2 linked regions of the Pelodiscus sinensis genome follow. The protein of the gene in region 1 binds, or shares a complex with, the protein of each later gene. Links are inferred from orthologs where the notes say so. Each region holds a gene or a part of one and is shown in the gene's direction. Other genes may lie near its edges. The genes, in order: ANP32A and NME1.

Region 1 (16,892 bases):
TATACAAGGCATGCCAAACAGCATTCAGAACACTGGAGTCAGAGTGCATCCCTTAATCCTAGTTTGATAGGGTGTAATGCAGCAGTTCCCGAACAGTGGGCCGTGGGCCTCTTCCTGGCTGTGGAAGAGCACTTCCCTCCTGCCACGCAGGGAAGCGCTCTTCCCCGGCCGAGAAGAAACCCCACCCCCACCTGGTGCTGGTTGGGTGAGAGGCGGGGCAGAACATGCCTCTCCCAACAGCCACAAAGGGGGGGAAACGCTGGGTGGTTTACGCCAGCCAAGGACCCCAGAGCCGCTGGGCCAGGTGAGGGTGGACAGGGCAAGCAGTGGGGCTCTGGGGTCAGAGCTAGTGCTGGGGGGGCTCTGGAAGTTGGGCTAGTAGCGGAGGGGAGGGGGAAGAGAAGAGACTATGGGGGCAAGGCTGGCACTGTCGGACTGAGGGAGGGAGGCTGGCACTGGGGGGCGTTGGGTGCAGGAGACTCTGGAGTCAGTGACTGCTGCTGGGGGACAGTGGAGGGGTGGGGTTCGGGGTTAAGGCTGGCACTAGGGGCTGGGCTTTTGGTGGACCAGTAACACCTTATTTGCATATTCATTATGCAATTTATGAATGTGGAAATAAAGTGTTAGCAGGCCGCCAAAAGTTTGTGAATGGGTTTGCCAGTGCCCGGTATCAAAATGTTTGGGAACTATGGGTATAAAGAAAGCACTCACAATCCAGAGCACCCAGCACAATGCTCATGTCCCAAAGAAAAATGAATGTTTATCTAAAGGGGGTAGAAGCACAAATCAAACCACACCACCACATGGCACTTGTAAACCAAATACACAAAGGCCAATACACTGAATACAGGCATGTACACAGTCAGCTGCATGACATCACAAAGAAACAATGCCAAAGATTAAAATGATGAGCTGGCCTACATCTTTGCGATGAGCTAGCACAGTGATCTCAATGGTTCAGGAGCCAAATTAGCGATCACCATTATCCGTGTGTGTATAAACACACACACACACACACACACACACACACACACACACACACACACACACACACACACACACACACACACACACACTCTTCTTATAGATGAACTATTTGGTCAATCATTTTGCAACAACAATTGGTTATTAACATAATAAAGACATCCCTATTGGCCTGTGGAGTGATAGCATAGTGGGTAATGAACATGTGTCCTGATGACCATCTAAAGGCCTTACAGGTGTCTTGGATTGGAACATGAACCAGGAGGGCTGCCGAAGAGGCCTGCGTGCTGGTCGAGTGTGCCCGGTGGCAACAGGACTCCTGCCAGCTCTTAAGCCCATATCCTGTTCAAAATCCTCTGCATGGGTTCTCACAGACCCTTTATCCTTTCAGCCAATGGGATGAAGAGTTGGGAAGACATCAGGAAAAGTTTTGTCCAGTCCAAATAAAATGCCAAGGTCCTCTTCACATCCAGGACATGCGCCTTTCTTTCTTGGCCTTATGAGGTTTAGGGCAGAAGCCCAGTAGAAAGATAGCCTTGCTTATGTGGAAAGTAGAAACCATCGTGGGCACCACCTGGTGGCGTCGAAGCTATACTTGATTCTTATGAAAGGCCATGTGGGACTGTTCCAACATTAAGGCATGCAACTTGAAGACCCACCGCATGAAGTAACCGCCATCAATAAAGCTTCCTTCCGGGATAGGTCTGACAAAAAGCATGAGGCAAAAGGGTTAAAGTGTGGCTCCGCGAGCCTAGAGGACTAGTTTGAGGTCCCCCAGTGGAATGGGGAAAAGTGTCTAGAGGCCCTTTAGGAGCCTAGCAGTCATGTCCTTTGAGAATATAGACCTGCCTTGGATCAGCAGATAGAAGGTGGAGATAGCCAGCAAATTCACTTTGATTTTTAAGATGAAGTAATCCAATATGGCCTATAAGGAAGTATGGAAGAGGAAAATGCCCCACTCAGCAGCAAATAGGAAAATCTGGTCCAGTTCACCAGGTACATCTGTCTGGTTATGAGCTTCCAACTTCCGAGGGCTTGTTGCACCCTTCTGCTTCGGACTGTTCCTCTGGATTTAGCCACGCAGCAGCCACACTATGAAGTGGAGTAACAGGAGCCTGGAAAGTAATGGGTAGCCGTGATCCTGGGACAACAGATCCAGACGATTCAGCAAGGGCTATAGGGGGAGCACTGGCAAACTCAGTAGGGTGCCAAACCAATGCTGGCTCAACCCACCAAGGGCAATCAAGATCATCTGAGCTTTGTTTTGCTTAATCTTGAGCAGGACCTTGTTTACTGGCGGGATCAGCAGTCTCCCATCCAAGGCAGGAGGAAGGCAGAAGAAACCTCCAGATGGAGTGCCCACCTGTAATGAGATGGAAAAAGTTTCTGCTGAAGTCATCTGCCAGCATGTTCCTGGCCTCTGGAAGTAAACCACTGGTCTGCTACTATGGCCTCTGAAGCTGGAAGAAAGGGCAGCAAACAGTGAGCAAACAAAAGGAGGAAGGTCCTGGGAAACTGTTTGGTACATCAGCCTTGGGCACCTGCACGATTATCTGGAACAGGCTGAGTCTGGTTGTGTGTAGGGATGTAAGAAGTTAACTTGGCACCCAGTCAGCAGCAGGCTTCTCAGCCTGCTTACCCAATAACTCAGAGGTGGCCAATACATGGCTCGCAAGCTGCATGCGGCTCTTCACTCCTGACAGTGCAGCTCACGAAGCCTCCCTCACACTCTGTGCTCAATGGTTGCAGGGAAGCCGTCCGGCATGGCAAAATGGCATTGGCCGACAGGAGCCTGATGTGGCCAAAAAGCCTAACCCGCGATTTTTAAAGGGGCAGCATTGTTTTTTGCTCAACAACTCTGCTGATGGGGAGCTCTTCCTTTCTTTGCTCAACAATTCTGGTGCGGCTCTTCGCATTTCTTCCGCCACTGTTTCAGCTCTCTTCGTTTAATGGGTTGGTCACCCCTGCAGTAACTAGCTAATCGACCTGGCCGGGGCAGCTCTCTCACCTGGCGTGGCAGGCTCCTGCCCACGGTGTGATATTTAACCAGTTAAACAATATAATTTTAATCGTTTAACCAGTTAACTATTTTAATGGGTTTTTATACCCCTAGCTGTGTGAAAGGCTAGGACTGTTGACCTGAACATCCCTTAGATTTTCTCTGGAGTGGCTCGACAGGAGTGTCTCCCTTGACCCTGGGAAGGCTGTGGCTTAAACTGATTGGAGGAAGGGACAAGGACATAGAGGTCTAATATCTCCAGGGTTGTATAGGAATCCTTGAGACCATAGAGTTTAGTGGTGGTCAGTTCTGCAAACCAGGTGTATCCATCGAGGCTTTCTGGGGCCAGCAGAGTGCCCACCACCAAGGCTTTTGGTGCTGGCAGAGGGAAGCTTCTGGTCTACTCCAAAGTTCCAGTTAGTGAGTGGGCTCAGAGAAACTCCACGGATTTGAGAACCACTGTGTGTGCCGTAGTTTGTGGCCACGGACCCCACAATGCCGGCTGAACCACCACCCCCGAGCCTCTCTTGCAGGTAGGGAAACCTTGTTCTAAAGCAAGGATAGCAGAGCAGTCGCTACCGTGACCAAAAGTAGGTTGAACTATAGCTCCTCTCCCATCAGTGCCCCTCTCCTAAAGGAGGCAGACCTGTGTGATTCTGAGGAACACCTGAAGAGCAGGCTTGCAGATCAGTGGTAGCCAGTAACTGACCCAATGTTCACCAGTGTCAGAAGAGCAAGTGGATCCGGGAGGAAGACCAGGCTTGGCACTGCAGAAATGCAAGTTGCAGTGAAGTTGACCTGGGAGATCCGCACCGGTCTGAGGAAGCGTACAGGTACCCAGTCGATCTGTCCTTTGATCAGTACTGGGGTCACAGAGATTCTCTATGTTCTCTCCGGTATTCCTGCTGGGGGAGGGCAGGCACACATGCCTCACAAAGTCTGCATCTTACCACCACCAAGCCTCGCTTTGATCCTCTCTACCCTGCTCCCAATCCAGGGACCACGCTGGGCAGAGAAACTTCTGCCTGTCCTGGTCACATGTGTGACTCAGAGGGCAATCTTTGGCGTGACATCTGCCATGACGGGAAATGCTGCCTCAGCAGCGACTGCGGTGATCCCAGTGGGTTTACACCAAGCCCAAGGTCCCATGAAGACTGGCGTGGGCAGCGCAAGTACATAACATCCTGTGCTGCTTGTAGGCACGCAGAGCTGTCTCTGTCCAGGGTGGCCAACTGAGAATGGGCTGGACTACTCCGCTCAGTTTGAGACGTGGCCCTTAAGCTCAGCTGTGGGTGAAGTAGTGCCCGGTATGGAACCTTGATCTTCCCAAGGCTTGTCCTTCCCCTTATGGGAAACAGATCTTCCTCTCCATCTTTTTCACTGGAGCCGCAGAAAGGGAACAGTGCCAGCTGGTAGATGGTACCACTGGAGCACTGAAGTCATGGTTCCTGGCGCTGAGTAAGAGTGCTGCTTTGTCACTGGGGCGAGTGCAAACTCCGTAAGGGCTTTTGAGCCAAATGTCTCTTTACTACTTTGTCCCGAGCTTGAAGGACTTGCTGAGTCCCAACGGGGATCCTAACAAGTCCCTAAGTACAGTACTATGAAAAACAGAGCGAAACAACTACAAAACAAACTAGAAGAACAAAGTCCAACAAGAAGCACCCTCACAGGCAGCAAGAAGGAACTGAGGGTTGAGGGAACTGGTGGCACTCTCTTTACCATGGCATATACACACTACTCCAGGGCACTAGAGCTGGTCCACTACAGATATTGTGGAAGGAAAATATTTCCAGCACCAGTGCAATCACTTTGAGCAATCACACACAGAATGAGGAACAAAAGCCTGTAAGTTTCTACAGAAGCAACACACCGACTTGGGTAAGTTTTAATTTAGTCTGAGCAATAATTGAAAAAGATACTTTTTGGAATTATAGTTCTTGGAGAATGCATTCCACTGTTTGTCACATGGAACTTAAAATCAGGCTTCCCAGGCTCCGTTCTCAGCTTTGTCATTGATTTGCTATATAACAAGGAATTCACCTGTGTAAATCAAACCACAGACAAATTTTATCTATGAGATTTACTTACCCCCTGTATGTTATGATTTAAAACTTAAATTTTGCAAAGCACACGGATGCTATGGTTTGTGCTAGGTATGTGTGGATTATTTGGAAATTTTAATCTCACGCTACTGAGTGTATGATATCCTGTGCTAAGACTCTAATAGTAGGTTCCTCTAAGATTAAGGTTATTGGGGGGGAAAAAAAAGCCCATTAGAAACACGTACTCCAGCAGTAGAATATAGTTAGATATTTAGCTGCAGTAATTCTTACAATCATATTAAATGCTTGATGCACTTGGGGCTGGAAAATAAGGATATATTGGTAAGACCTTTGGAATATTTTCCTCTTCCAAAAAATTAATGAGATCACAATGTCAATTTCCTGCCTTTACAGGATTAAGATGCTATACATTTGTGTATAATTTCTCTAAAAAGCCTACAAGATCAGTAATATATCTGAATTGACAATGTATAAGACAATTGATTCAGTAGGTATATTCAAAAATATATAAATAAATAACTCAATTATGGTTCAATTTTGCTTCAAATGAAGTCTTTTACTATTAAGGCTAGGCTATTTAAAATGATTTTACTTTGGTTTATTTTTGTTTTAAAGCTAATAAAAATCTTTTTGTGACCAAACTGCTTGTTAACAGTAGTGGAAGATCTAGCTTTTTAATCTGAAAATGCATGAATAGCTGTAAAAATATGCTCTCTTTCAGGTTTGGGCACTTGTTCTGTGTTGGGAGACACTGTCAAAAATTAAACTATGTGCTCTTCTTTTCAAAACTTATAGAACTCCCTGTGGTAAGAGGTAGGAAAAAAAGGAATTTCATTTATTTCTCACTGAAGTTTTATGTGATCACATTTACACAGCAGTTAATTTTCAATTGATTTTTAAGAGATGGAACTTAATACAAACCTAACAAAACCAAGTTTGTACTTATATGATTTTATCATTTGGGAGTAATAATACCTAGCTTTTACATAACACTTTTCATTATATCTTCTCTCAAACTGCTATGTAAAAGGAAAATATATTTTCAGTCCTTGGAAAAAATATTTATATGGCACAGATAGATCTAGTTAAGGTTCTAAATCCTTTTATTTCCACAAGCAACTTGAGGCTCATAACCTAGTATTCAAAATTCACTGAAGGACTAAACTTTGCACAATGTCTCAGCCTAAGAGACAATTTTGTTCACAATGTTTGAAGGAAATGGATTTGACCTCTTTTAAAGTAAAATTCAAATTATGTATCCTTCTTCATTCAGTATTCTTAAAGTTCTTTACAAACATTAACTTGTTTATGACTTTTCCAGGGTCATATCAAATCATAAGCAGAACAAGAAAAAAATTAGGAGTCCAGGCTTTTACTCTTACATGAATTCTAAAGAGGGGGAGGGGGAAATAATTCTGACCACTTCCAAGCCAATTTTATTTTTAACTATCAATCTGTTTTGCTTTTAAGTTTGTGCTTTCAACATATGGTTTCCTCCAGCCTAAAACCTTCTGATGAAGCATCCCTCTATACCAAGAGCTTCTCAGGCCTACCTAGTTCAATACATATTATTTCAGAGCCTATGAAGCTCAGTAATAAAAACTAGCCTGACATTTGTGTTTGTCCAGAACTCTGAACATTTAAAACTAGCCTAAGGACTGTTATAATGTTCTCAATAAGGCTGCATGCTTCTTGGGGGGGAGAGTGGGGAAGAGAGAAGAGTGCCAGACTGAGAGTCTTGCACACTGATCCCAGTGAAAATGGCCATCCCTGATAAATCCATTCATATACAGAACCCAATGAGTGTCTTTTACTGCGAGCTAAATACCAATGGAACCAATATTTGACAGTTAGCCTTACCAACATGCATTTGGCACCATAGACCTCTCTCACCTCTTAATCTGGCAACAGGATACACCAAAGCATTCTGAAATAAGACTGCAAGGCCTTCTTTGTGACAGTCCTTCATTGTAAGACCACACTACACAAGTGTCTTCACAGGGACCCAGAGATGTCTCAAGAGAACACTGCCCTTTTGGGATCTGATTTACAAATAACACATTCTGTTTCCACGCATGTGGTGTTTCAGCCTCTGACGCTTGTCACAACATGCTTCCTCCAGAACTAGTAGCTTCCATGGCTTGCACAGACAAGTGGTCCCATCCAGTTGTGTGTGTGGGAGTCACTTATCTCACCTATACCTTTGTGTTTAGTCTCAGGCTACGTCTACACTGGCAGGTTCTTGTGCAAGAACAGCCGTTCTTGTGCAAGAATCTGCAGAGCGAACACACTGCCCACCCTCTCTTGCGGAAGATTTACAGTACGGCATGGTAAGAGAGGGCTTCTTGCGCACGAGCTACGCTATTTTTTAACAGGTGTAAGCCCTCTTGCGCAAGAGGGCAGTGTGGATACTCGGCAGGGGTTTCTTGTGCAAGAAAGTCCTATGGCTAAAATGGTCATCAGAGCTTTCTTGCGCAAGCGAGCCTCTACACTGCCATGGGCGCTCTTGTGCAAAAGCACAGCTTGCACATGGCACTGTGGACGTTTTCTTGCGCAAGAAGCCGCCAGTGTAGACATAGCCTCAGGGTATAGCATGGTATGGAGGAAGCTGGGGAAGTAGGGACAAAAGATAAGTGAAAAGGTACAATAAGAAGCAACTTGGGATGTGGCAGCCTCTCTCAAGCTGAGGCAGCAGCTCAGCCGCAGCGTAGGCGCACGCATCCCTTCCAGAGGGGGGAACCACAGGAAAAGGTCCTTCCATGTCTCTCGCAGCCCCAAGACTGTGCTCCTCTGCACAGCTCCCCACCAAGCTACGTGGGGACAGAGAGAACCTGATCACGTCAGGGCTGCATCCCAGACATTCAGTGAGCAGCCCTGCCCCATTCCAACAGGCCTCCATACCAACCACCCACCAATGGCGCTTGGCCTCCACCCACCCCATTTCCCCCCATTCTTCCTCCTGCACCATACACTGTGACCAACAGCCCTCACCTCCCCCAAACCCACAGTCCCCCTCCATGCACCAACCCCTCCCAGGCCACCCTACATCCCTCTGAACCCTCAATCTCCCTCCACGGACCCGACCCCTCCCAGCCCCCCAAACCTCCTCCATGTACCCTGACCCCTCCAACTCCCCCCCACAGCCTCCCTTCATGCACCCAATCCCACTGGGCTCCCCCTCCGATCCCCCAAACCCTCAGAGCCCCTCCATGCACCCCAACCCAACTCCCCCTTCAGCCCTCCAAACCCTCAGCCTTCCTCCGCACACCCGACCCCACCCAGCTCCCCAAATCCTCAGTCCCTCTCTGTGCACCCCTGACCCTGCTGAGCTTCCCCTAAACCCCCCCCAAAACCCTGTCCCCCTCCCATGCACCTGGACCCCACTCAGCTCCGCTAGTCCCCCAAACTCAGCCCCCTTCTGTGCACCCCAGCCCCACCCAGCTCCCCAAAACCTCAGACCCCCTCCGTGCACCCAACTCCACCGAGCTCCCCGTATTCCCCCAAACTCTGTCCCCCTCCGTGAACCCTAACCCCACTCAGCTCCCTTACAGTCCCCCAAACTCTGTCCACCTCCATGCACCCCAGCCCCACCCAGATCCCCTACAGCTCCCGAATACCTCAGACCCCCTCCGTACACCCGACCCCACTGAGCTCTCCCTACAGCCCCGCAAACCATCCGCCTTCATGCACCCCAACCCCACTCATCTCCCCCTACAGCCCTCTAACCCCGTCTGCCTTTGTGCACCCCAACTCCACCCAGCTCCTCTACAGCACCCCAAACCCTGTCCCCTCCATGCATCCCAACCCCACCCTGCTCCCCTACAGCCCTGTACCCTCGGTGCACCCAAAACACAACCAGCTCCCCTACAGTCCCCCAAAACCTCAAACCCCCTCTGTACACCTGACCCCAGAGCTCACCCTACAGCCCCCCCAAACCCTGTCCCCTCTGTGCACCCCAACCCCACCCTTTCCTACAGCCCCCCAAAACCTCAGCCCTCTCCATGCACCCCAACCCCACCCTGCTCCGTCCCCCAAAACCTCAGCCCCCTCCATGCACCCTAACCCCACTGAGCTCCCCCTACAGCCCCCCAAACCTCAACCCCCTCCATGCACCCCAACCCCACCCAGCTCCTCCTACAGCCCCCTCCATGCACCCCAACCCCACCTAGCTCCGCCTACAGCCCCCCAAAACCTCAACCCCCTCCATGCACCCCAACCCCACCCAGCTCCTCCTACAGCCCCCTCCATGCACCACAACCCCACCCAGCTCCCCTACAGCCCCCCAAAACCTCAACCCCACCTAGCTCCACCTACAGCCTCCCAAAACCTCAACCCCCTCCATGCACCCCAATCCCACCCTGCTCCCCTACAGCCCCCATGCACCCCAACCCCCCGAGCCCCCCAAAACCTCAGCCCCCTCCATGCACCCCAACCCCCCAAAACCTCAGCCCCCTCCACGCACCCCAACCCCCCAAAACCTCAGCCCCCTCCACGCACCCCAACCCCCGTGAGCCCCCCACCTCAGTCCCCTCCATGCACCCTAACCCCCCGAGCTCCCCAACCTTAGCCCCCTCCATGCACCCCAACCCCCCGAGCCCCCCCAAAACCTCAGCCCCCTCCATGCACCCCAACCCCCCGAGCCCCCCAAAACCTCAGCCCCCTCCATGCACCCCAACCCCCCCAAAACCTCAGCCCCCTCCATGCACCCCAACCCCCCCAAAACCTCAGCCCCCTCCACGCACCCCAACCCCCCTGAGCCCCCCCCAACCTTAGCCCCCTCCATGCACCCCAACCCCCCCAACCTCAGCCCCCTCCACGCACCCCAACCCCCCGAGCCCCCCCCAACCTCAGCCCCCTCCACGCACCCCAACCCCCCGAGCCCCCCCCAACCTCAGCCCCCTCCACGCACCCCAACCCCCCGAGCCCCCCCCAACCTCAGCCCCCTCCACGCACCCCAACCCCCCGAGCCCCCCCAACCTCAGCCCCCTCCACGCACCCCAACCCCCCGAGCCCCCCAACCTCAGCCCCCCCACGCACCCCAACCCCCCTGAGCCCCCCCAACCTCAGCCCCCCCACGCACCCCAACCCCCCAGAGCCCCCCCCAACCTCAGCCCCCCCCCCACGCACCCCAACCCCCCAGAGCCCGCCCCACCGCCCCGTCCGCGCACCCCCGACCCCACCCTCAGTCCCACGTGCCGCCCTCGGCCCCGCGGCCCCTCCCCCCGGCGGCCCGCGCGCCATTTCTCTCCCCGCCGCCCCTCAGGGCGCCGCGCCCCTCCCCCTCGGGCCCGGCCGCTGCCCCAGGGCGCCGCCCCCCGGCGCGGGGCGAACGTGGCGGGAAAGCGCTGCGCCCCCATCCCACCGCGGAGCCGCCGCCGCTCCTGCCCCATCAGCCACCAGCAGCGACTGAGCCTCCGCTCGCGCTCGGGCTGTCCCCTGGCCGGCTCCGCCGCTCGCCCATTGGCTCCCGCCGCGCTGTGCCCGCCCCATTGGCTCCAGCCGCCAGCTGCCGCGTCGCGGTTGGCCGAGCCCACTGTCAATCGCGGCGGAGGCCCCGGGAGTGCCCGCCTCCGCTGTTATCAGGTTAGTGTTAGCCGCGGTGCTGGGGCTCGGGATTCCAAGCGGAGCTGGTTGAGCTCTCAAAGTCCCTCACCGCGCTGGCTTTGGGGGGGTCTTCAGTGGTGTCAATACAAAAGAGGAGCTGAGCAAAGCGAGAGACTCCTGCTAACCAGGGACATGGACATGAAGAAAAGGATCCACTTAGAGCTGCGGAACAGGACGCCCTCAGATGTAAGCAATGCAAAAAAAAAATCCATCCCACATTTTGGGGGGTGCATTAAAATGATTAGAAAATGTAGGGGTGCAGCTGGAATAGGGAACGCCCGTGCCAGCGGCTGCTCAAGCCGCTGTTGTCCTTGAGGTGCCTACCGGTGTGTGGATGTCTCCGTGCACCTAAATTGGGGTGCCCAAAGGCGCACGCGTTATGGTCTAGGGGAAAACTAAGCTGCTCCCGAGTCTGCTGGTGTGAAATGCATTCAAGGAGCTTGCAAGGCATTAAATGAAAATAAGTTGGTGGCTCTCGCTGGCTGGTTTTGTTGGCAAATATTTGCACGGAGTGTTGGGCAGGGAGGGAGCGTGAGGGAGTTGAAAATGGTTTAGTTTAAAGTGCGTCTTCATTTCTTTGCAGTGATCAGGCAAGAGAGACTGGGGAGCCATATTTGTAACTTTGTAGTCCTCATGAACGCGCCCTTTCTCTCTCTCCCTCTCTCCAGATGCTGAGAAGACAAAAAATAGGATTTTTAAGCAAACCTTCAGTGGTTTTAAAAATCGGAGCCAGCTGACAATATCGCAAGCTTTTAATTTTTAAAAAATGCCCCAATAAATCCACTCTCCACCCTCTCTCCATCCACACACACACAAAAAGGCTGGATGTTTTTTTTTTTCCTTGGGGCTGGACTTAGGTTGTTGTTCAGCGTCTGACTGAATAAACGAGAACAAGAAAGTTTGTCAGGACAAAAATAGACCGTGGCTGGTTGGGCACAAATTATGCAGACAAGAGAAAACCTAGTTACCTCTCCTCCTTTTTCTGTTTGTCTCTTACTGTTACCGCAGCGATAGCAATCGAAAGGCGAGAGGGGTGGGGGTCACCCAACTTGGGCAGACCCCCTAACCTCTTGCCAAATGCACCCAAGGAGAAATTAAGGTTGCTTCTGTGTAGGGGTGGGTGTGGGTGTTCTCTTGCGATGGGAATTTGGTGTTTTGTGCTGCGCAAAGGTGACCGGAGGTCTCTCCTCCTTAATCATCGGTGCATGGGATCGTTGCAAGTGCCTTTTCCTACCTTGGGAAGTTTTAGTGCAATTAACACACAGTAAAAAGCCAGTCTCTGGGGGAAACCCTCCCCTCCAAAACAACCGATCCCACACATGTGGCCATGGATTTTTAGAAGCCAAGACCGAAGAGGGCATTATATAATGGCTTAAATACTAAGTTTATTTGCGGGGAAGGGGAGGTGTTCTCCGGCTCGGTTTCCCTCTTGCAGACCAGACAGCTTTGAAAGGCGCTGGACGTAGATAGGAGTGAATAAACACATACCTTTCCAGAAATCAAAAGTATCCCAGGGGGACAGGGGGAAAACTGCCCCGCACTTTTCCTGTCGCCAGTAAAATGTCTGACGGACAAAGCTGGGCGGATTTACGTAACCTTCGCTTTAAACTTTAAAAAGTATTGAGGGGGGAGGGAGGGAGTGTGTATGGAGCTGGCTAGTGGGTCAGACACCTTCCCTTGTATCTGAGCAGCAACACCTATTAATACAAAGTGCTGTGTGGTGTGTGTGTGTGTGTGCGCGTGTGTGTGCGTGCAGGTTGCTGCATGAGCGGGGCTGCTCGTGCTCCCTTGTGTTGCACCGCGTGTATGTGCCAGCTAGCTCAGTACAAGAGGGCTTGTTTGTGAGAGCCCTGCAAAGAGGACAAAGAGCAAACGGAGGAGCTTCCTAATGAGGGGCCTCTGTCCCTACATCTCTGCCGGGGAGCTGAAATATTCCTCCCTCCCTCCACCCCATGAAATCATTCCCAACTTTGTATCCTCGCGTTGGCAGCGCCACACTAAACCTGAAGTAGGACAAGACGCCATGTTTTTTCCATCGAGCTGCAAAGGAGAAAAAGGCTGGGGTATGAAACCAAGGCGATTTATGCTTTAGGATCCGTGCGAACACCCCAAAGGAGGGAATTCTTAAAGCCACCAGCGGTGCAGTTAGCAAACATTCCTTGTGAAATTCTGGAGGGACTTGAGGGGGGTTGCTTTAAATGGTAATGCGTGTTACAACCTAAAATGAGAAGCTTTCATAGGTCTGCAGTTTCCTATTAATGATTATTCGGTGGGGAGGAGAAATGCTTCGTGTTTTGTTCGAGGGCAGGTCGAAGAGGTGGAATGGTGGCGGTTAGGGCGGCTGACGGAAGCAATGAGGGCGCACGGAGGGCTCGCTCTGTGTGTGTGTAACATGACTGCCAGCATTCAGGTCTGCCATTTTGTCACTGTTTTGTCACAGAGGGGGGAGGGGAGAAGGTTGTTTTTAAAGAAGATAACAATCTTATAGTCCGATTCCCAGCCAGGCACGACTAACGGCGTGTTCGAACCCGAATCCTGCTGCAGTGGGGCTGATGTGGCCGGGGAGGGGTCTTCAGGGAGGGAGGCGGGCATGTATGGGTGCGTGTCTGTGCAAAGGGGAGTGCTCGCTTGTTCCCCTGCACAAACGGCTCTTGGGGAGCGCGGACTCGGGAGCCTGTATCTTTAAATGGAACCTTGGCGTCTCGAAATGGAACGTTGTGTTCGCGAGCGTTCCGCGGGGCGGTGACGAACGTTCGGGGGAGACTGGAAGGCCGGTCGCACGCTCGCCAGGAGCGCCTGGCTGCATCGCCCCGTTCCGCTCGGCGCCGGCGCGGGCTGGGCCTGGCGCCCAGCCTGGGCTTGTGCCTTGTCCCGTTTCCCACCCGAGCTGCTGCGCGGGAGCTGGAAGAAGCGAGCAGACCTAGCAGGTCGCATGCACAGTGGGTTCCGGATGGCGATACACTCACTGCCGGCTGCAGCCGCGATATGGATGAGTCGGGAATATGCCTTGTTCCTGGGCAGGGCCCTGCGGGAAGGTAGGTCTTGAGGGTTTTCCCCCCCCCCTGTGGATTATGTAGCAGTAACCGTTTAGCGCCGCTTGAGGTTTATCTTCCCCACCACCACCATCACCATTTTTAACAAGGATGCTGGCGGTAAAAAATTTCTCCAGAGTGCTGCACGGCACGTTTTGGCGACAGGAGTGTTAAGCCGAATGTGGTTTACTTCCCTCCCTGCTGGGTTTTTGGTTTAGGAAAGTAACACGAAGAGACTTTCTTTGATTGGGACAGTGTTTCTTTGCACTTGCATAACTTGATCTTTGGTGGGTAAAGACACCCTGTCCCATATGGTAGAAATGTAGTCTTTAAAGTGCTACACAGTCCTGTTTTTTGTTTCACCTGCCCCATATGGTCAGTCATAAAGTGTTCCTTATCTAACTTGGTACCTGCTGTCACCTGTTTCAAGTCTTTTTTTCTTTGGTTCTGAATGAACTCTCCCATGCAAAGGCGATAATCAAAACTGTTCCAGATTTCATTATGCAAATGTATTGTAAATACGATTGGGAGAACGATACTTGTCGATATTGCGGTTTTTACCAGCCAGATCCAAAGGGGACACAGTAGCGAGGCCAGCACATCCTCATGTCGGGGAGTAATAAAATTTACAATGGGGGGGCTTGCCACTCTTCAGACTATCCCTTGAAATCTGATTTCTTGACTCTGTGCCTTTGGGCACTAACTAGAGGGGCAGACTGAATTTTAAAAGTAATGATTGCTTGTTCCATCCACAACTTGGTGCAGATTGTGTATTTCAGTATAGACAGACCAGTGAAATTAAATGAGATAGTTCATTAGTCTGGGAGTTTTACATAGGTTAAGATGATGCAGTATCTTCAGTAAGCGGCAGTACATATTTGCATCATAATCCATATTTTAACAGTGTCTGGCCATTAAAAGAAACCGACTCTGGTTTTGTAAAGAAGGCCAATTTTTTCTAAGTCAATTGAACTGCAGCTGAGCCATTTGTGCTTTGGTATCCACACCACAGGCTGTGTTGTTCATCTTGACAGGGTTAGGGTTTTGCAAATCAAGAGCAGTGGTGAAGCAGTGTACCAGAATTTCATTACTTTTGTGGGTTTATGGTAATGTTCTGCAGGCTTTAGAGTGATGTACTATCATTCTTGTTTGAAATGCTGCTTAATACCATGTAACAGAGCTGGTTACTCTGAGCGGTTAAATCTTATAATCCTGCAGGTTTGGTATACATATTAATTAACAAAAGCACATATTGCAAGTGTATTTAAGGTGGAATGCACAGGGGCCCGATTTTCTCCAGCACCCCTTTTCTTTGTGTTTGTTTTAATTTGAATTTAGTGCTGGTGAAAGGTGCCAGATTGATAGTACAATACCTGAAATTATTTTTCCTATGTATTGTACTGTTGATGGCTGTGTAGTTTTTCTATTGGACTTTTCTCTCTCCCCCCGCCCCCCCCCACTGTGTTTCATGTTGAGAAGGTTCTTCATATGCCATGCACATACTAGGGATGTGAATGGTTAACCGGTAAGCCTCACCCGTAACAGGTTACCGCTAACTGGCAGCGGCCGGAGAAGCCCTCCTACCCGCTGCACCCACCGTGAGCAGGGGGCTGCTCCAGCCCTGCAGGTCCCCCACGGGTGGGGGTGCTCCAGCTGGGGCAGAGCAGCCTCCATCCATGATTAACTGGTTAAGCATAAAGTTTAATCAGTTAACTAATTAAATGGGATTTTACATCCCTAACATGTACACATCTAAGCTCGTATCTACCCTTGGAGTCTTCTGATGTAAAGACCTGTACACTTGGAATTAGAACAGATTATCTCATAGGTTACTACAGAGCCATCAGAAGGCACTGTAATTAATGAACTAGTAGAAGCTTTTGTGGGCAGATTTTTGGGCACTCCTGTTTATTTGTATTGTAAACAGCCTAATTTGTTAGCTAAATACAACAGCTGTAAAGCAAATTATCAGTATTCCGGTTCTGGCTGGCTATGCAACATAGACCTTGTATAGGTTTTTGAAATTGTGCTAAAATGCCTTTTTTATGCTTATGTTTGTTGTTGTTTATGCTTACATTTTTACATTCGGTTGTGGATTACTTGAGTCCAAACACTTCATGATTGGTCTAAAAGAGGCACTGTTAACTTGAACTTAGGTCAACTAAAATAAAAGTTGAAAGTTTACTTCAGTTTTTTTCACGACTCTGGACTCCCCAACCCAAAAACATCTGTTTAATTTCATTTATGTCTGTTCTTCTCTTTTGTGTTATGGCCAACCTACCCAAACAAAAGGGAAAACAGTTGATAATGACTATTTGTAATTCCTGTGAAATACAGAAGGTAAACGTTAAGATTTAATTTTTCCTCACTATGTTACTCTTTTCATTGTAATGATAGTAAATGGCTTAAGTTGGTGTCTCTTTAAAGACCTTTCCTGTACTGAACAAATACAAAAATGAAAGGCATTCGAACTGTTCTAGCAGCCTCTCTGGATTTCTGACCTGCTGGTATTCTGCTAAATTCTCAAAAATGTTGATTTGAACTATACATCTCTGCACCTATACCACTGGATCTCCAGAAGTGGTGTTGTATTAAGGTGAATAAGTAGAGCCCCGCGAATCTACGGCTATCTGCTATATATCCACAGGTCAGGGCTCATTTTTGCAGATACAAAATTTGTGTCCATAACTGTATTTGCACAGGGTTCTATGAGTAAGTTGTTTGACCAGGAACAGCTGATATTGGAAACAGGTATAGAATCATAGAATCATAGAATAATAGGACTGGAAGGGACCTCGAGAGGCCATCGAGTCCAGCCCCCCGCCCTCAAGGCAGGACCAAGCTCCACCTACACCATCCCTGACAGATATCTATCTAACCTGTTCTTAAATATCTCCAGAGAGGGAGATTCCACCACCTCCCTTGGCAATTTATTCCAATATTTGACCACCCTGACAGTTAGGAATTTTTTCCTAATGTCCAATCTAAACCTCCCCTGCTGCACTTTAAGCCCATTATTCCTTGTCCTGTCCTCAGAAACCAAGAGGAACAAATTTTCTCCTTCCTCCTTGTGACACCCTTTTAGATATTTGAAAACCGCTATCATGTCCCCCCTTAATCTTCTTTTTTCCAAACTAAACAAGCCCAGTTCATGAAGCCTGGCTTCATAGGTCATGTTCTCTAGACCTTTAATCATTCTTGTCGCTCTTC
Region 2 (16,274 bases), on another chromosome or scaffold:
TTTTAACAGAAAAACTTTTTCATTAAAAAGCATTTGCGGAAAATCATGCCAGTCTAAACGTAGCCAAGAAGTAATTCTTTCACTCGACTCTGCATGGCCTCAGCTGAAATAATGTAGAAAAATTAAAGTAAGTCCCAAAAAGAGCAACAAAAATGATTAAAGGTCTAGGAAACATGATCTATCAGGGAAGACTGAAGAATAACTAAGTTTGTATAGTCTGTAGAAGCCTGGGCCCCCAGCATACATAATAACAGGTTTCAAGTCCATTAAAGGTTGTTACAAGGAAGAGAAAGAAAAATTGTTCTTCATAACTATCAAATTCATGGTCCATTTTGGTCAATTTCATGGTCATGTGATATTTTAAACAATAAATGTCATGATTTCATGATTTTAGATATTTAAATTTGATTTTTCACATTGTAGTTATAGGGAAGTAAGGATGGCATGGTGTGGTTTTGTCACCATTACTTCTATGCTACTGCCTTCAGAACTGGGCCCTTGGCCAGCACCTGTCACTCTCTGACCACCCAGCTCTGAAGGCATTAGCACAAAGGTAAGAGTGTCATGGTATACTATTACCACACTTACATCTGCACTTCTGCTATTGGGGTGCTGCCTACAGAGCTGGGTACCCAGCCAATAACCACCTCTCTCTGATCACCCCACTCTGAAGGCAGGGCAGAAGTTATGGTGTATTATAGAGTAAAAGCACACAAGCACAAAAACACCGAGATTCATGAGGCAGACCAGATTTCATGGTCCGTGACGCATTTTGCATGGCTGTGAATTTGGAAGGGCCCTATTCATAACCTCTGAGGATAGGACAAGAAGCAGTAAACTTAAATTGCAGCAAAGACTGTTAGTTTGGGCAATAGGAAAAACTTCCTATTTCTCAGGGTAAATAAGCACTGGCATTAACTGTCTAGGAAGGTTGTGGAATCTTAGTCATTGGAGATTTTGAAAAGCAAGTTAGACAAACACCTGGGAGGGATGGTCTAGCTCCGTGGTGTCCAACAAGTTCACCACTAGCCATATGTAGCTATTTGGCCAGTTGAGTATGGCTAGTTTGCTATAGTTACAGTGGCAACTGCTTCAGAACTGTTTGGACACCACGGGTCTAGATAATATTTAGTCCTAACCTGAGTCAGGTCCTTTCCAATCATTTCTACCTCTAGGGGATTATAGGGCCTGGAACAAAAATCTGCCTGAGGCCTGCTCCTGCCCCTTCCCACCTTTGCTCCACACTTTCCTGCCCCCATTGCACCCCCTCCTGCAAATCCCCTTCCCAAGTGATGCAACCCAGGAGATTACTCCCTGGCGGCGGGAGCAGATATTGGACCCACCCCACACTCACCATGACAGAGGGAGGCGAAGCAATCCAGCCCCATCCTGCTCAGTTCCCTCAAGCTCAGCTCCCAGCCATGTCGCTCCGCTTCCGCAAAGCAACCCAGTTGGAGTATGGTGGGGTGGAATGGAACAGACTAGGTCTGTATTGCTCCACTTCCCATGGCTTCTGCCACGGTTAGTGAGTGTAGGGGCGGGTCCAACCCCTGATGTTGCACCAGGCCCTCTGAATATAAGAACGGCCATACTGGGTCAGACCAAAGGTCCATCTAGCCCAGTATCCTGTCTGCGAACAATGGTCAATACCAGATGGAAGGGAACACAACAGTTAATCCTCACGTGATCCCTGTCCTGTTATGCATTTCCAGACAAACAGAGGCTAGGGACTCCATTCCTACCCATCCTGGCTAATAATCATTGATGGACCTAACCTCCATGAATCTATCTAGCTCTTTTTTGAACCCTGTTAAAGTCCTAGTCTTCACATCCCTTGGCAAGGAGTTCCACAGGTTGACTGTGCACTAAGTGAAGAAAAACTTCCTTTTGTTTGTTTTAAACCTGCTGCCTATTAACTTCATTTGGTGACCCCCTAGTTCTTATATTGTGGGAATAAGTAAATAACTTTTCCTTATTCACTTTTTCCACATCAGTCAGGATTTTATAGCCCTCTATCATATCCCCCCTTAGTCTCTTCTTTTCTAAAATGAAAAATCCAAGTCTTTTTAATCTCTCTTCATACGGGACCTGATCCAAACCCCTCATTATTTTTGTTGCCCTTTTCTGCACCTTTTGCAGTGCCAATTTATCTTTTTGGAGATGAGGCAACCACATCTAAATGCAGTATTCAAGATAAGGTGTACCATGATTTTATATAGGGGTAATAAGACATTTTCTGTCTTATTCTGTATCCCCTTTTTTTTAAATGATTTCTAACATTCTGTTTGCTACTTTGAATGCTGCTGCACACTGAGTGGATGTTTTCAGAGAACTAGCCACAATGACTCCAAGATCTCTTTCTTAAGTAGTTATAGCTAAATTTGTCCCCATCATATTGTATGTATAATTGTTGTTGTTTTTTCCAATGTGCATTACTTTACATTTATCAACATGAAATTTCATTTGCCATTTTGTTGCCCAATCACTTAGTTTAGTGAAATCTTTTTGAATCTCTTCACAGTCTGCTTTGGTCTTAACTATCTTGAGCAGTTTCATATCATTTGCAAATTTTGCCACGTCACTGTTTACCCCTTTCTCTAGATCATTTATAAATAAATTGAATAGGATTGGTCCCAGGACAGACCCTTGGGGGACTCCACTAGTTACCTCTCTCCACTCGGAAAACTTACCATTTATTCCTACCCTTTGTTTCCTGTCTTTTAACCAGTTACCAGACTATGAAAGGAGCTTCCCTCTTATGCCATGACAAATGACTTTACTTAAGAGGTATTGGTGAGGAACCTTGTCAAAGGCTTTCTGGAAATCTAAGTACATTATATTCACTGGATCCCCTTTGTCCACATGTTTGTTGACCCCCCTCAAAGAACTCTAGCAGATTAGTAAGGCATGATTTCCCTTGACAGAAACCATGTTGAATTTCCCCAATAAATTATGTTCATCTTCATGTCTGACAATTTTATTCTTTTACTATAGTTTCAAGAAATTTGCCCGGTACTGATGTTAGACTTACCGGTCTGTAATTGCCGGGATCACCTCTAGAGCCCTTTTTAAATATTGGCATCGCCTCTGGTAATCACCTAGGCTGTCCTGGGCCCCACAGGACCCCCAAAGTGCGGGGGCTGAGACAGCTGCTTGGAACTGTCCGATGGTTCTGCTTCCAGTTCTGTGATTTTATAATGCATTTGAGACAGCATTAGGACAGCAGGGTGCCTGGCGAAGCTCAGATGAATGCATTTTCTGAAATAGGATTTATTAGTATTTGTCACAATTTATTAGTTGGTGGAAAAAGTTTCATTCACTGTACATTCTTTAAATCAGTAAGTCCTTCAAGAGTTTCAGTTAATAAGGTCATTTGTGTGTTTCTTTCTAGCATGTGCACTGCTGCCATCTGCATCAATGGTGTTGTTTATACTTCAGTCTGAGGGCCCTCTGCTGGCTATGCAGAAGCAGATCCATATAATCATAGAACTATAGTGTTGGAAAGGACCACAAGGGTCATATAGGTCAGTGTTTTTCCATAACCAGTCTGTGGACTGGCGCTCATCCCTGAGACCTCCCAGATACAATTTAGGAAGGCAGCAAGATGGTCCCTGGTATTAAAAAGGTTGAGGAAACACTGATATATAGTCTAAATTTATGCCAAGAAAATCCTACGCAAACAGACTTTTGAGGATATAAAATATAAACCTGGAATAAGTTTTTCTCCAGATCATAACAAGATGAAGGCAAGTCAAATTTTGGACTTAAGCAGGTTGATCAATTGCTCTTTAATTGTGGTGATAATAATACATTATTATACACACGTAAATTAGGAAAATCTCAGAAAATGCTGGAGAAGCAAGCAAGGATTTTATCCATTAATTATGTAGGAAGATATTGAAGGTCAAAGAGGGTTACATGACTTGCTTAAGGTCACATAGTGAGTCAGGGTGCGTCTACACTGCAGTTTTTTTCCAGAGAAACTGCTGTTTTTTCTGGAAAAACAATACTTATGTCCACACTGCCACTGAGTTCTTTTGACAGAAAATTGAAAGAACAGAGGGGTTTTTCTGATGGCGGTAAATCTCATTCTGCGAGGAAGAAGCCTTTTTCCAAAAAAGTTTTTTTGGAAATAGGCGTGTGTGGATACAGAAAAGGGAGTTATTTCGAACGAAGAGGCCTCCAGAAAATTACACAGGTGCTCTGGTTGCCACTCCATCCAGACTAATCACAACTTAAATGCAAGATAGCATCCAATCAATGTGGATGCTATCTTTCGAAAAAGCACATCGCTTTTCCATTCCCCTTTTGCTTGTGGATGCTTTCTTTCAAAATAAGCTTTTCCGGAAGATCTCTTCCGGAAAAGCTTCTTCCAAAAGAAGCTTGCAGTCTAGACATAACCTCAGTGACAGAGTTGGCAATAGATTTCAGAAGCTTGTGGTTCTCAGCCCAGTGCTTAGTTCAAGGATTTTGCTAATCTCTTATCATGAGGTTTTATCATTAAAGATACCTAAAATATGAAATGATAAGCTCCTCTTTAGACATATTATATTCATATATGAATAATCTGGGCTAATTTCTATACTATTTTAACATTAGAGATGGAAACAGAGAAACATAGACTTGAAAAGATGTTAGATACTCCATATTCCACAATTTTCATCGGCTGTTTCAAAATTGTTTCAGAGAATGCCACCATGGAAATTTTCTGTGGATTTCTATGAGCTACTGGCTTTCTCTGACTTTTAATGCTATAATGAACTATATCACCATACTGTTTATATTGCTAAGGTATTAGGTAACAAAGTCTATCAAACTAGTAAAGAAAAAATGAAAGGGCTTATCACTTAGTTGAAATCTAACTAATGGCTGTTCCATTAATTTCCACCAGAGAGCAGCAGAGGCTTATACTGTACTTTCATTTGTCCTGCTTCTGAACATTACTGCACTTAATACTTGTGTATTGTGTATGTTTAAATACACCAGGTCAGTGGAGTTGCATAGTCGTAAGTCTAGTTACAAGAAGATGTAGATCCAAGCTACAAGGTTTGTACCCAGACTGGAACTTTCCCAATATTTAGAGTTGTACCAATGTAGACTTTTAGCTCAGACTACTATAAAGTTGTGGCCAGGGTCATGAACTTAGGATCCAGACCTGAACTCCCCTAAAGACTGAGGGGAGTATGGATGGTGTTCACTTTCAGAACTTTGGGTTAAGGTCTGTCTCCTAAAATGTCACACTGTGCTAGGTGGCATACAAGAGACTTTAAACAATTAGACCAACAGTCCATTATTATATCTTGGAGACCTCTGTATCACACTTTCACTTTATGTGCTGTTAATTCACCATCCTATGGGGTGACCATCCTGCCCCACCTTCACTTCTTCCTCTCTTCTCCTCTTGTCCCACCACCAGCTCTTTCCAGAGAGCTACTGTCTCTCTTATTTGGATTCATTATGTAATTGAATTCTTACTTAAAACACAATGAAAACATTGTAATCAGGGGGAAATGTGCTGGTTCAGTATATTATAATTATAAATACAGCAGACTTTTATAGCATGTTGTATACTATATATTGCTCAACATGTTGTGCTAATCATGGATTAGTCACAGAAGTGGCTAAGATAACCCTGGTTTAATGAGCTTAAATGATTTGGCACAGATCACACAGCAAGTCTGTGATAAAGATAGAAATATAACTCAGTTCTCATGGCAGGCCCTGTGCTTTAATCACTAAATCATGTTTTCTTTTTTAAAAAATTCTGTTTGATGATATATAGTCAAGTGCACTGACAGAATACCTCTTTTGCCACCCATTCCTTGCAGATATGGTACTTTGAATTTCACTGTTGTTTTGCCTGAGGAAGGATTGTAGGATCAAGATCTATATCAATAATATTAAATGTCTTAAATAAAGTTGCAGTGAAATAATATAGAATATAACAAAATGGGATACAAGTAAAACATTCAGAAATACTAGGTCAAAAATACTTTAAAGATAAATATGTTGGAAAGTGCAGGACTTTATATTTTGTAGTATCTTGAAATAAATTATAAACACAGGAAAATTTAGCAGATCACAGCCATGGTGAAACCAGAAAAAAAGAGAACTGCATACTAATAATCCTACAATGCGAATACAGGCCCACCAGTGAAATACATCTATTTACATCAGACCTACATTTGGTCCATTATAACCAGAAATAAACATAGATGTGCTTTGGTGTCAGACTAAATTGTCATAGAGGAAAACATTAAAAGTCCTTGTCGTTGAAAATGCTAACTTTATCCCAGATTGTAGCTAAGGTCTTGAGAGAAGAAAGTCAAGCCTAAGTAACTTTTCTATCAAGAAAAATCAGGAAGTAGATCTTAGAAAGCTTGCCTCACTCTCAGAAATAGATTCAGGGCAACATGGGGAAGAAGCTTTTTCCTCTAAAAGAAGGAAAGTGAAAGCCTGCCCATTTACATCCCTTTATAGCAGAGCATATTGGAAATGGAAGAAACTTGGGACCTCATATATTATAATTTATTCTATTGCTCAATTAGTGCTGGAGGCAAAAACAATAGCAGGAAATGAGATGTTAGCTCAAACAACTGAAGTACTGATGTACTATCCAACTGTGGGATGTCTACAGGTAGTGTTTTTGTATCTGAAAAGGTATACTGATTCATTTAAGAGGAAGGCTTAAATTAATAAGACTTTGATAATAAAGTACCTTTGGACAATTGGATTCCATATAACTTTCTGTGTCTACTGACTTAAAAAATCATTGGCTGTGTCTACATTGGCGCGATCTTGCGCAAAAGCAACTGCTTTTGTGCAAAAACTTGCTGCCTGTCTACACTGGCCACGAGTTCTTGTGCAAGTACACTGACGTTCTAATGTGTGAAATCAGTGCTTCTTGCACAAGAACTATGATGCTCCCGCTCAGGAATAAGCCCTCTTGTGCAACTGTTCTCTAGCAAGAAAGCCCTATGGTTAAAATGGCCATCAGAGCTTTCTTGCGCAAGAGAGCGTCTACACTGGCATGGATGCTCTTGCGCAAAAGAACATCTCTTGCGCAAACGCACATGCCAGTGTAGACGCTCTCTTCTGGAAGAGTTTTTGCATAAGAACTCTTCCACAAAAGAGTTCTTGTGCAAGATCATGCCACTGTAGACGTAGCATTATGTTTAGGGAACTATTAATTTCTCTTTCTCTGTGCTACCATGTCTATGCTTTGCATAGAAATTCTCACCTGTTGCTATGACTGATGAGATTCAGCAGTAAGGAAAATATTAACTTAAAAACAAATACTAAAAAAACAAGATGTAAATTAATGTCTAACAGAAAGATATATGGAACAATGACTAGTTTATAAAATTTGTATAAAGCCTTATAAAACTTTAAAATTGCACGCTAGGGATGTATATATACATACCCACACATACACAATAAAGTTCAATTATATGCATATAGTTTAAAAATATATTCAGAGGAAATTATAGTATAGAAATTATAGTATAGAAATAGATTGTTTGTATAAAATCCACAATGTGCTAGTTACTTTCCATGTACTTCATACTTCATGAGAAATAGATTCTGCCCCAAGAAGTTAAAAGAATAAAAATTGCTTTCCAAAAGCCATTTCCTGTTTGTGCTGATGTGCCTTGCTTTATGTTGATTTGTAGATAACTAGTTGCAAAGATACAGTTAGAAATTCTCTGAGCATTGCTTGACTGCAAGCATATTTCAGCTTGTGAGCTGTGAGAATACCAGTAAGAGATGTTTGTAACTTGATTGCCTGGGCTTTAAAATTGCCTGGTAAACGGGAATTGAATCTGTCAAAGGGAAAAATTCTGGCTTTGTGCATGTCTGATTTGACAAACTCGTTGGTTTATGGGACTTGATGTAATTACCAATTAGATATAACTATCAAAACAAATGTACTTAAAGGTTTTCTGTATAAAGGAGAGTGGAAAAAATAAATTCCATACAGGGCAGTTATTAAAGGGTTGAAAACAAGGAGTAAATAGATTAGAAATGTGAAATTTCCTGGCATCCCCACTGCAAAGAAACTGGAAAATCAGAGGTTGAGGACTTGAAAATACTTCATTAGATGTACATTTTATGTCGAAGGAAACAAGAAAGCATACCAGGAAATGAGATGGGGTTAAAGGTCAGATTAAAAAAAAGATCAAGGGCATCCACAGGAAAATAAAAAGGTGCTTGAAATAAAAATCCAATTAATGGATTAAAGGCAAAAGGTCAAGGCATAAATAAAAGGGTTCTAGGGAAGAACAGTGAAAGGATCAGAACAGGACAAGGTCAGGAAGCTAATACTATGCAATTGGAAAGGGAGATTACAAAGATAAGGTATATATAAAATAATGAAGTGAAATGAGAGATAAATATATAGGTGAGGGATGCCTAAACATGATATGATAGAAGTGCAGAAGTTTACTAATTTATTTCACAGATCTCAGAGAGTAGTTATTACAGTCAAGCTAGAAGGGATAAGTTTTGGTTTCAGTTCTGTTCAATATCTTCATTGATAATTTAGATAATGGCATAAAAAGTACACTGAAAGTTTGCAGACAATACCAACATGGGAAGGGATATGTGTGCTTTGGAGGATAGGATTAAAATTCAAAATGACCTAGACAAACTGGAGAAATTGTCTGAAATACAGAGTCAGGAGCGGCCTGAGGCCGGCTGAGGCAGCTGGCGCCCTAGGCGGAATGTGCGATCGGTGCCCTCACCTTCACAGGCATCAATGGTCGTGACATCATCATCGGGCAACTGCCTAGTTTGCCTGGGTTCACGGGCCGCCCCTGCATAGAGTGAAATTCCATAAGGACAAATATACAGTACTCCACTTAGGAAAGAACAATCCATTGCACACATACAAAATGGGAAATGACTGCCTAGGAGGGAGTTTTGCCAAAAGTGATCTGGAGGTTATAGTGAACCACAAGCTAAATATGAGTCAACAGCCTAACACTGCAGCAAAATCCTAGTTGCTGGAAATGCAGAGACTTGAAAACATACTTTGAACTGGATTTGGAGATAAGTAGCTAGCTAGAGAATGTAAGAAGGTAGAAGGTCTCTGCCTAGGACAGCGCAACCGCTTTGCCAAACCACTGTGGACCCTTGAAGTTGAAAAATTGGGTGGGAAGTCTATGAAAAAGTGAGTGTGCCTTGGCTTAGGTGTGGCTGTTCAGCCAGAGCAGATTTCCCATACACTAATTGTAGTTAAATGGTGGGAAGGGCCCCAACAACCCTATTGTCAATAGGCACCTGCAGGCAGGACCCTGGTATCTACGTCCTACCATTTCCTCTATATGCAACTGCAGGACACTTTCACTGTAGTAGACAAACAGCTTTTGCTGTTATTTTAATGCTCCACAACGAGTGAAAAGACACCCTTGCTCTGGGAGAAGTGCGCTCACCTTAGGACGGAGGTGGGTCAGGAGGGCTGGATAGCAGATCATAAAAAGCGCCGTTATGTGTGTGACTGGCAGAGCACGGGGCGGCTAGCTAGATTGTGTGAAAAATCAGGACAGGGGATGATGGAGGGGAATAGGCACCGAAGAAAAAGCCCCTCATAATGGGACTGATCCTAGAACATCAGGACATCTGGTCACCTCAGGTTGGTCCCCGCACCCACTGCCCTCGCCCTCTCTGGTCCCATTCCAAGCTACACGCTGCCCTGCTGGGAACTCTCTGGGGCTGGCTGCAGCGAGGCGCACCACGCGGTGCACCAGCCTCCCTCCTCTGCCACAGCGATGGCCTCGCGTTGCAAGAGCGCCGCCCATTCCCCGGGCGAGGGAGAGTCGCTGGGCTCCCTGGCGTCGGACTCGAGCGTCATCTCAGCCCACCCCCGCCACGGCGTGTGCGCGCCCCGAGATAGCATCCCCGTGGGGGGACCCAGCTGGCAGCCGGCGTGCGCTGGAGCACGTGGGGGCGGCCAGGAGGCGTGTTCCGAGCTGGGTGGCAGCGGCGGTGTTGCCGCAGCTACCACCCGACCCGCAGACTGCAGGCAGGCAGGTGAGGGGGCGGCCGCCGGGAGGGGTGAGCTGAGGGGCTTGCATGGGGCGGGGGCACGTATGCAGTTATTGAGAGAAGAGGGGCTGGTGGGGAGTGGAAGTAAGAAGGGGCGCCTGAGCCACCAAGTGAGACAATCAAGGTTCACATAAGGGAAGGGAATTGTAATTAAGCTTCTGCGCGTTTGTCTGCTGGTTGCCATCTGTTCTGGGCTGTTGGAAGGGGGAGCATTATTATTAGATGTTGAATTTTTGTGTGTGCCTTTTTTTGTATTTTACCCCTCTTAGGTTGTTTGGTATTGCTCTGGAATAGCTGGCTTGTTTCTCCAATTATTCATTCTATGCTAAACTGATAGTTGGGGATTGTGTTACCACCCTACTGCAATTGTTTTAAGTAGAGATGTGTTTTCATTCCTGAAAAATGCTTAATTGTTGGCTTTACATGTTAAAATCGTTGCAGACCTGGGTAATTGTGTAGTGTGTGCTTCTCAAAATGGCACTCTAGATACTCCAGTGTGACTTTCTTAGCTTTCATTCCCCACACACATTCTTAACATACTTCATTACTGCATTGATTGGCTGTAGATATAGATACATAGGGTTTTAATTTAGTCTGTTTTATCCTAAATTGAGGGTAGCATGGTATCAGAGTGCAGTTTGGAATACATCTGCCATACCATCCTGTAATCATCACTTAATATAACATTTCTGTGTTCTTGCTATGGACTAATTGTTCTTCAAATTCTCCTCAATATTTGTAGGACTATTACATGACATTTCTTTTTTTTCTTTCTTTTTTTTAGTAGCACTTTCTGGATATTTGTATGGTTTACTTGATCAGTGCAAGTTGCAGCTTAATGAGTTAATTTAGGTGATATCAGCTATGAGACTAATTCAAAGCACAATAAGGTTGTGGCAGATAGTGTCTATGCCTTCTAGATTTCTGTTGTGGCTGCATTTGCCCTCTAGTCCTGGAATATGGATTCTCTTTCTCCTGTCTTGTAGGACGATGGCATCCATTTCCGAGCGCACTTTCATTACCATCAAGCCTGATGGAGTCCAGCGGGGAATAGTGGGAGAAATCATCAAAAGATTTGAACAGAAGGGTTTCAAATTAGTGGCCATGAAATTAATACATGTGAGTTTCCCTCGTTTCTTTATTTATCCTTTATGTATAGAATGTAATCATATTTAGAGCAGGCTGGTGTACTTCACTCCGTGAAATATCTATTGTAATATTTTTAAATGAAATTTTAGAAATATCAAATGTCAAATTTTATGTCTGGATATTTTTGGAGACTTTCTATCATTCAGCTGTAGTTAAATGGTTTTGACATCCCAAGCAACCTAATTTTAGTAAGATGATGCCTTAGTCTGAGGAGAATATTCTTATAGGTGCCATTTACACTTAATAGGCATCTGTTGTACATCTACAGCAAAAATTGATTTCTTCTCAATTGGATACTGCTGAAACAATCTTGCTGAGTTAATTTATATTTTAAATTCATATAAACATAACACATCTAGCCAGTTGCTAAAAGCACTAATTTTTAAAGCGCATGCCTGTTTAAGGATTAATAGTGCTCTGTGGTTAATCTCTTGTGATTTAAAGATGCTCTTAAGTTCTTAGAGTAAATTACCTTTTTTTTGCAGGCCTCTGAAGACCTTCTGAAAGAACATTACATTGATCTGAAAGATCGGCCATTCTATGCTGGTTTGGTTAAATATATGCACTCTGGACCTGTTGTAGCTATGGTAAACTTTTAAACTGGCTTAAGAAAAACTAAAAAGTTGATGTGTCTTGTTTCATAACTTTGTTACATATTGAAAATGATACTACCTGTAAATGTAGTTTCATGTACAAATGTTTCCCTTTAACTTTTTTTTAATAGTTTCTTTTTTCCTATTGCAATGTGCCAAGCAGCAGGGGATGTGAACAGTGGTAAACTGACTGCAAAAAGTGCTGTCACATTCACAAAATAAGCAACTGGAAAAAAGAACAGTGAAATATTTAATGTTTCAAGTAGAGAAATCTTGTATTTCAGATTTACACTGCAAAATCATAGACTAAACTAGGTAAATGTGACCTTTTTTTAAAGAATCTCCGCTATGAGTTGCCCCTGTATACATCCATTCTTCACTAAAGTTGTTGATGTTTGTAGGAGCTGATGTGTTGTAAGTCTTCCTATTCCCTGCTCTTAAGGCATGTGCAAAATAATAATAAATAATAATAATAGCGCAAATGGAAATCAGCCATGGGGAAAAATTCCCTGCTATAAGTTGTGTTGCTATAAGTCCAAGTTTTTTGGAACATATCTTGGACTTAAATACTTTAGAGGTATAGGCTCACCTCGCTATGAGATCCCTGTGAGATTTTATGAGTTTAAGAAATTTTGAAATGGGATGCTTACCTGTTTGTTACACGTAAATCTGTTCAGTAGTACCCTCATGCTTTGGCTAGCAGTCAGCAGAAATTACAATAGCTTCTTGGAGACAGTTTCACTCCAATCCTTCAATGCCTTGCTTACAAATTCTTTGAAAAGGGGGACTTAACACCCACCCGGTAATGGGATCAAGTTGAATAACTTTGCCAACTCTCACTGTGTTAGTTACAGTTTGGATTCTGTAATCGTAATGGATTTATTTTATTTTTAAGGTGTGGGAAGGTCTTAATGTGGTTAAGACTGGCAGAGTAATGCTAGGAGAAACTAATCCAGCAGATTCCAAACCTGGTACCATCCGTGGTGACTTCTGTGTTCAAGTTGGCAGGTATGTTCTGAAATAGTTTTGATAAGACAAAGCCAATTTTTAATGCTGATGACTTACTTAGTTCATTGTTTTATAATTAAGTTTGGGGACGTGAAAACTAGAACAACTTGAAACTGTAGAAAAATTCAAGCAGCAGAATGTAAATATTGGAATTTGATCAATGTTATAGTAAAGACGTATAGACAAAGACTGAAATACTTTCTACAGCCCCTCAACTTTTTTTCATGGAGGTTTCCCATTTGAGTACTGACATATAACCCTACTTATTTTATGAGAACTAATAAGCTCTCTGCATGATGACTTGCCTCCTGGTCCTTTCTATCAGGATGTCCTGATAAACATGAGTGTCATTTGATAACATACATTTTAAAATGTTAAAATGGAATGAATTTTGTTATATAACAATTGGTAACAAAAACTTACTAACCACTGAAAAATATTTAAGAGCGTTAAGGCCCCTACTCTGCAAAGTGATTATATGTAGGAAGACCCCTTCCCCCAATAACTTCATCCAGATGCAGGGGTTCACCTCCACTAGATTATCTAGGACTGGAGGCAAAGGATATAAATAGAGATGGGGTTTTCCTTCTCCGTCCCCCACTATCAACACGGATGAGAGAAGCTTGTGTGTCATATTCATGAGTATGTTTATTAATAAATGTAGTCACGGTAACCAGAGAGGTTTTTCTAAAAATAAAATTCTTGTGCTTTTAATTCTATAATTGACTTTTCTTTTTCTTCTCTTAGGAACATCATTCATGGCAGTGACTCTGTAGAAAGTGCTGAAACAGAGATCAACCTGTGGTTCACTCCTGAGGAGTTGGTTGAATACACAAGCTGTGCTCATCAGTGGATATATGAGTAAAAACATGGTCTGTGACTTTTAACATCCATGCATCCCAATGATTATGGACCCAGAAATAGTTCCTATTGGTACTATCCTTTAATTATTTCAAGGCACTTCTGTATAAACTGGTGGAAATCTCTAATTTGTGTTGTGCATATTACATGTAACCAGTGTTATTAACTGCTGCTCTAATTAAAAAAGCTATTGAATTATTACTTGTGAAGCTTTATAACTCTGTGTGTATATAGAAGAGAAGGAGATTACAATAGAGGAGAGGATTTTTAATTAATGACTAAACACGAGGCATAAACTGCCATGAAATACTCTGTATCCACAGAGGATAATGTGGTGTATACCCATTAGCAAACAATCTAAAATGGCTTAGTGGCCTTAAGATTTGTTGTCAAACATAGTTAAATCACCAGGACACACATGCTGGTATGTAAACAGATCCATAATATACCCAAAATACAGGGAGTAAAAGAATGATATAGAAGTAAAGTCAAGCAAAAAAATTGATTTTAAAATTGTGATAAACATCTGTGGGAAATGTTCAATTATTTTCTCTCTCCAGAAAGTCAGTTCAGTTATACATAGGCAACAGCTTTACTCTGAAAGTAAGGATTTTAACCAGATTGTAATTTTAAACTCAATTTTTCACCCTAGCCTCAGTCATTTGCATAGCTCTTTAAGCGAGGATTAATATGGCAGCTTTATAAAATGTTCTTTTATGAGAAAAGAAGATTAACGCGCACAGGCCGCTCAGTATGCTTTACCTCCTTTCACTCTAGTATAGCATTTTGTTTGACATTGGCAAGAACATCAGCACTGAATTATATTTCCATGCAAAGAACTGACAGCTCAGATAGAGTCTTTCCTTGGTTGTTTGAATGGCAAAGTAAACTGTGCTTGGATAAACTTTTGAAAAAGTGACTTTGGCACTTAGGAGCCTAAGTCTCAGTAGTAATCATAGATTCATAGAATACTAGGACTGGAAGGGACCTCGAGAGGTCATCGAGTCCAGTCCCCTGCCCTCATGGCAGGACCAAGTACCAACTAGACCATCTCTGATAGACATTTATCTAACCTGCTCTAAATATCTCCACAGATGGTGATTCCATAACCTCCCTGGGCAATTTATTCCAGTGTTTAACCACCCTGACGATTAGGAACTTTTTCCTAATGTCCAACCTAAACCTCCCTTGCTGCAGTTTAAGCCTATTGCTTCTTGTTCTATCCTCAGAGGGCCAGATGAACAAGTTTTCTCCCTCCTCCTCATGACACCCTTTTAGATACCTGAAAACTATCATGTCCCCTCTCAATCTTCTCTTTTCTAAACTAAACAAACCCAATCAATGACCTTCTAAAATGTTAGCCATTGTATTTAAACTCATTCATATGATAGATTTCCTTTAATAATAAACAGATCTCAGTAGTGCAGTTCAGGACTATCCACATACCTTTCAGCCTCCTGGAGAGTTGCTATGGCTAGACTCCCAGTTCCTAATGTGCTAGTTCATTATCATAAATAACCAACATACTGCAACTGAGAAGCAGGTCTTTGTAATTTGGCTACAGTTGCGTATTTGAAATAGGGAGGTTACAATGTGTGTAATGGGTTAACCATGTAACTGCTGAAAATGTCAGTGGTTACACGCAGGGCAGCAATCAGCTCTCTGGAAGCTGGTGTGTGCCCATGAATGTTCTGGCTCTTGCCTGCTGCTCCATACTGCTGCCTCTGTATCAGAGGCAACAGTGCGGGACAGCAGTTGTCTCTCCGAGAGCTGTTCTGCATTTCTTCCTGCTTATGGTCTTGGTACGCAGGTGATATAGAGGCAGCTACGCGGGGTGGCAGCTGGCTCCATCGGAGCCAGACCAGGAATTATGCATAACCATTTGGGTAACTAATAAACTCATGCTTATAAGTTTAGTGGTTACCTATTTTAAATGGCTACGCTCTTACATCCCTAATTGGGAAAATCAACTGAATGTTTTAGATGGACCATTGTGACCTATGCTAGTTACCTCCTTCAGCTCACGTTACTGTTTCTTTAGCTCACAACAGCACGTAGATTGTTTAAGGTTGTCAACTCTCCCAAATGGACGGGATCAGACACCATATGAGACAAACTTTACCTGGGCTCTGTGGTCCAGGAACATCTGCCAGACCACAGATGTTGCTGGACCAGAGTCACGGTTAAGGAAGGTACAACCTGTATAATTGGTTAGAATAAATCTATGTATAAAAACTATATTTGCTTTGTGTTGTAATTATTTATAATATTTTAAATGATTAATATTAATGTGGGAAACCACCAAACACTAATTTAACCATAAATTCCTTTATTAAATGCAAAGGTACTTATACAATTGCTCTTACACATGCCTAAAAAGCCTAACAAATAAGCAATTACTACATCCAAAGAGTAACAAAACATATATAAACATTTGATCATGATACTTACAAACAGGCTAGACAGGGATGCCTTAAAAAGCAGAGCCTGCAGCTCAGGGTGGTAGCTGGCTCTCCAGGAGTTGGGCCAGCAGCTGAAGGAGTGGGGCTGGCAGGGCACTCTTCCTGCCCCACTCCTGGGGTGGCATCTTACTCCCAGCAGGAAGCTGGCTGCCCC

Evidence for each region.
Region 2: ANP32A (region 1) and NME1 share a complex: the UniProt entries of both Homo sapiens proteins name them as parts of the SET complex. The link is inferred for Pelodiscus sinensis from reciprocal best matches to the Homo sapiens genes ANP32A and NME1.

What each region holds. Positions count from the first base shown.
Region 1 is NC_134724.1:2,508,487-2,525,378, forward strand, and holds the start of ANP32A (acidic leucine-rich nuclear phosphoprotein 32 family member A), read left to right. Parts: upstream 1-10,635; 5' UTR 10,636-10,782; coding exon 10,783-10,836; intron 10,837-12,833; exon of another isoform or gene 12,834-12,848; coding exon of another isoform or gene 12,849-12,851; intron 12,852-12,942; exon of another isoform or gene 12,943-13,042; coding exon of another isoform or gene 13,043-13,060; intron 13,061-13,506; exon of another isoform or gene 13,507-13,652; coding exon of another isoform or gene 13,653-13,685; intron 13,686-16,892. UniProt on the Homo sapiens protein: Multifunctional protein that is involved in the regulation of many processes including tumor suppression, apoptosis, cell cycle progression or transcription. Promotes apoptosis by favouring the activation of caspase-9/CASP9 and allowing apoptosome formation.
Region 2 is NC_134730.1:15,290,236-15,306,509, forward strand, and holds NME1 (nucleoside diphosphate kinase A), read left to right. Parts: upstream 1-9,813; 5' UTR 9,814-10,028; exon of another isoform or gene 10,029-10,032; intron 10,033-10,133; exon of another isoform or gene 10,134-10,157; intron 10,158-11,033; 5' UTR 11,034-11,037; coding exon 11,038-11,166; intron 11,167-11,681; coding exon 11,682-11,783; intron 11,784-12,684; coding exon 12,685-12,797; intron 12,798-13,544; coding exon 13,545-13,662; 3' UTR 13,663-13,859; downstream 13,860-16,274. UniProt on the Homo sapiens protein: Major role in the synthesis of nucleoside triphosphates other than ATP. The ATP gamma phosphate is transferred to the NDP beta phosphate via a ping-pong mechanism, using a phosphorylated active-site intermediate.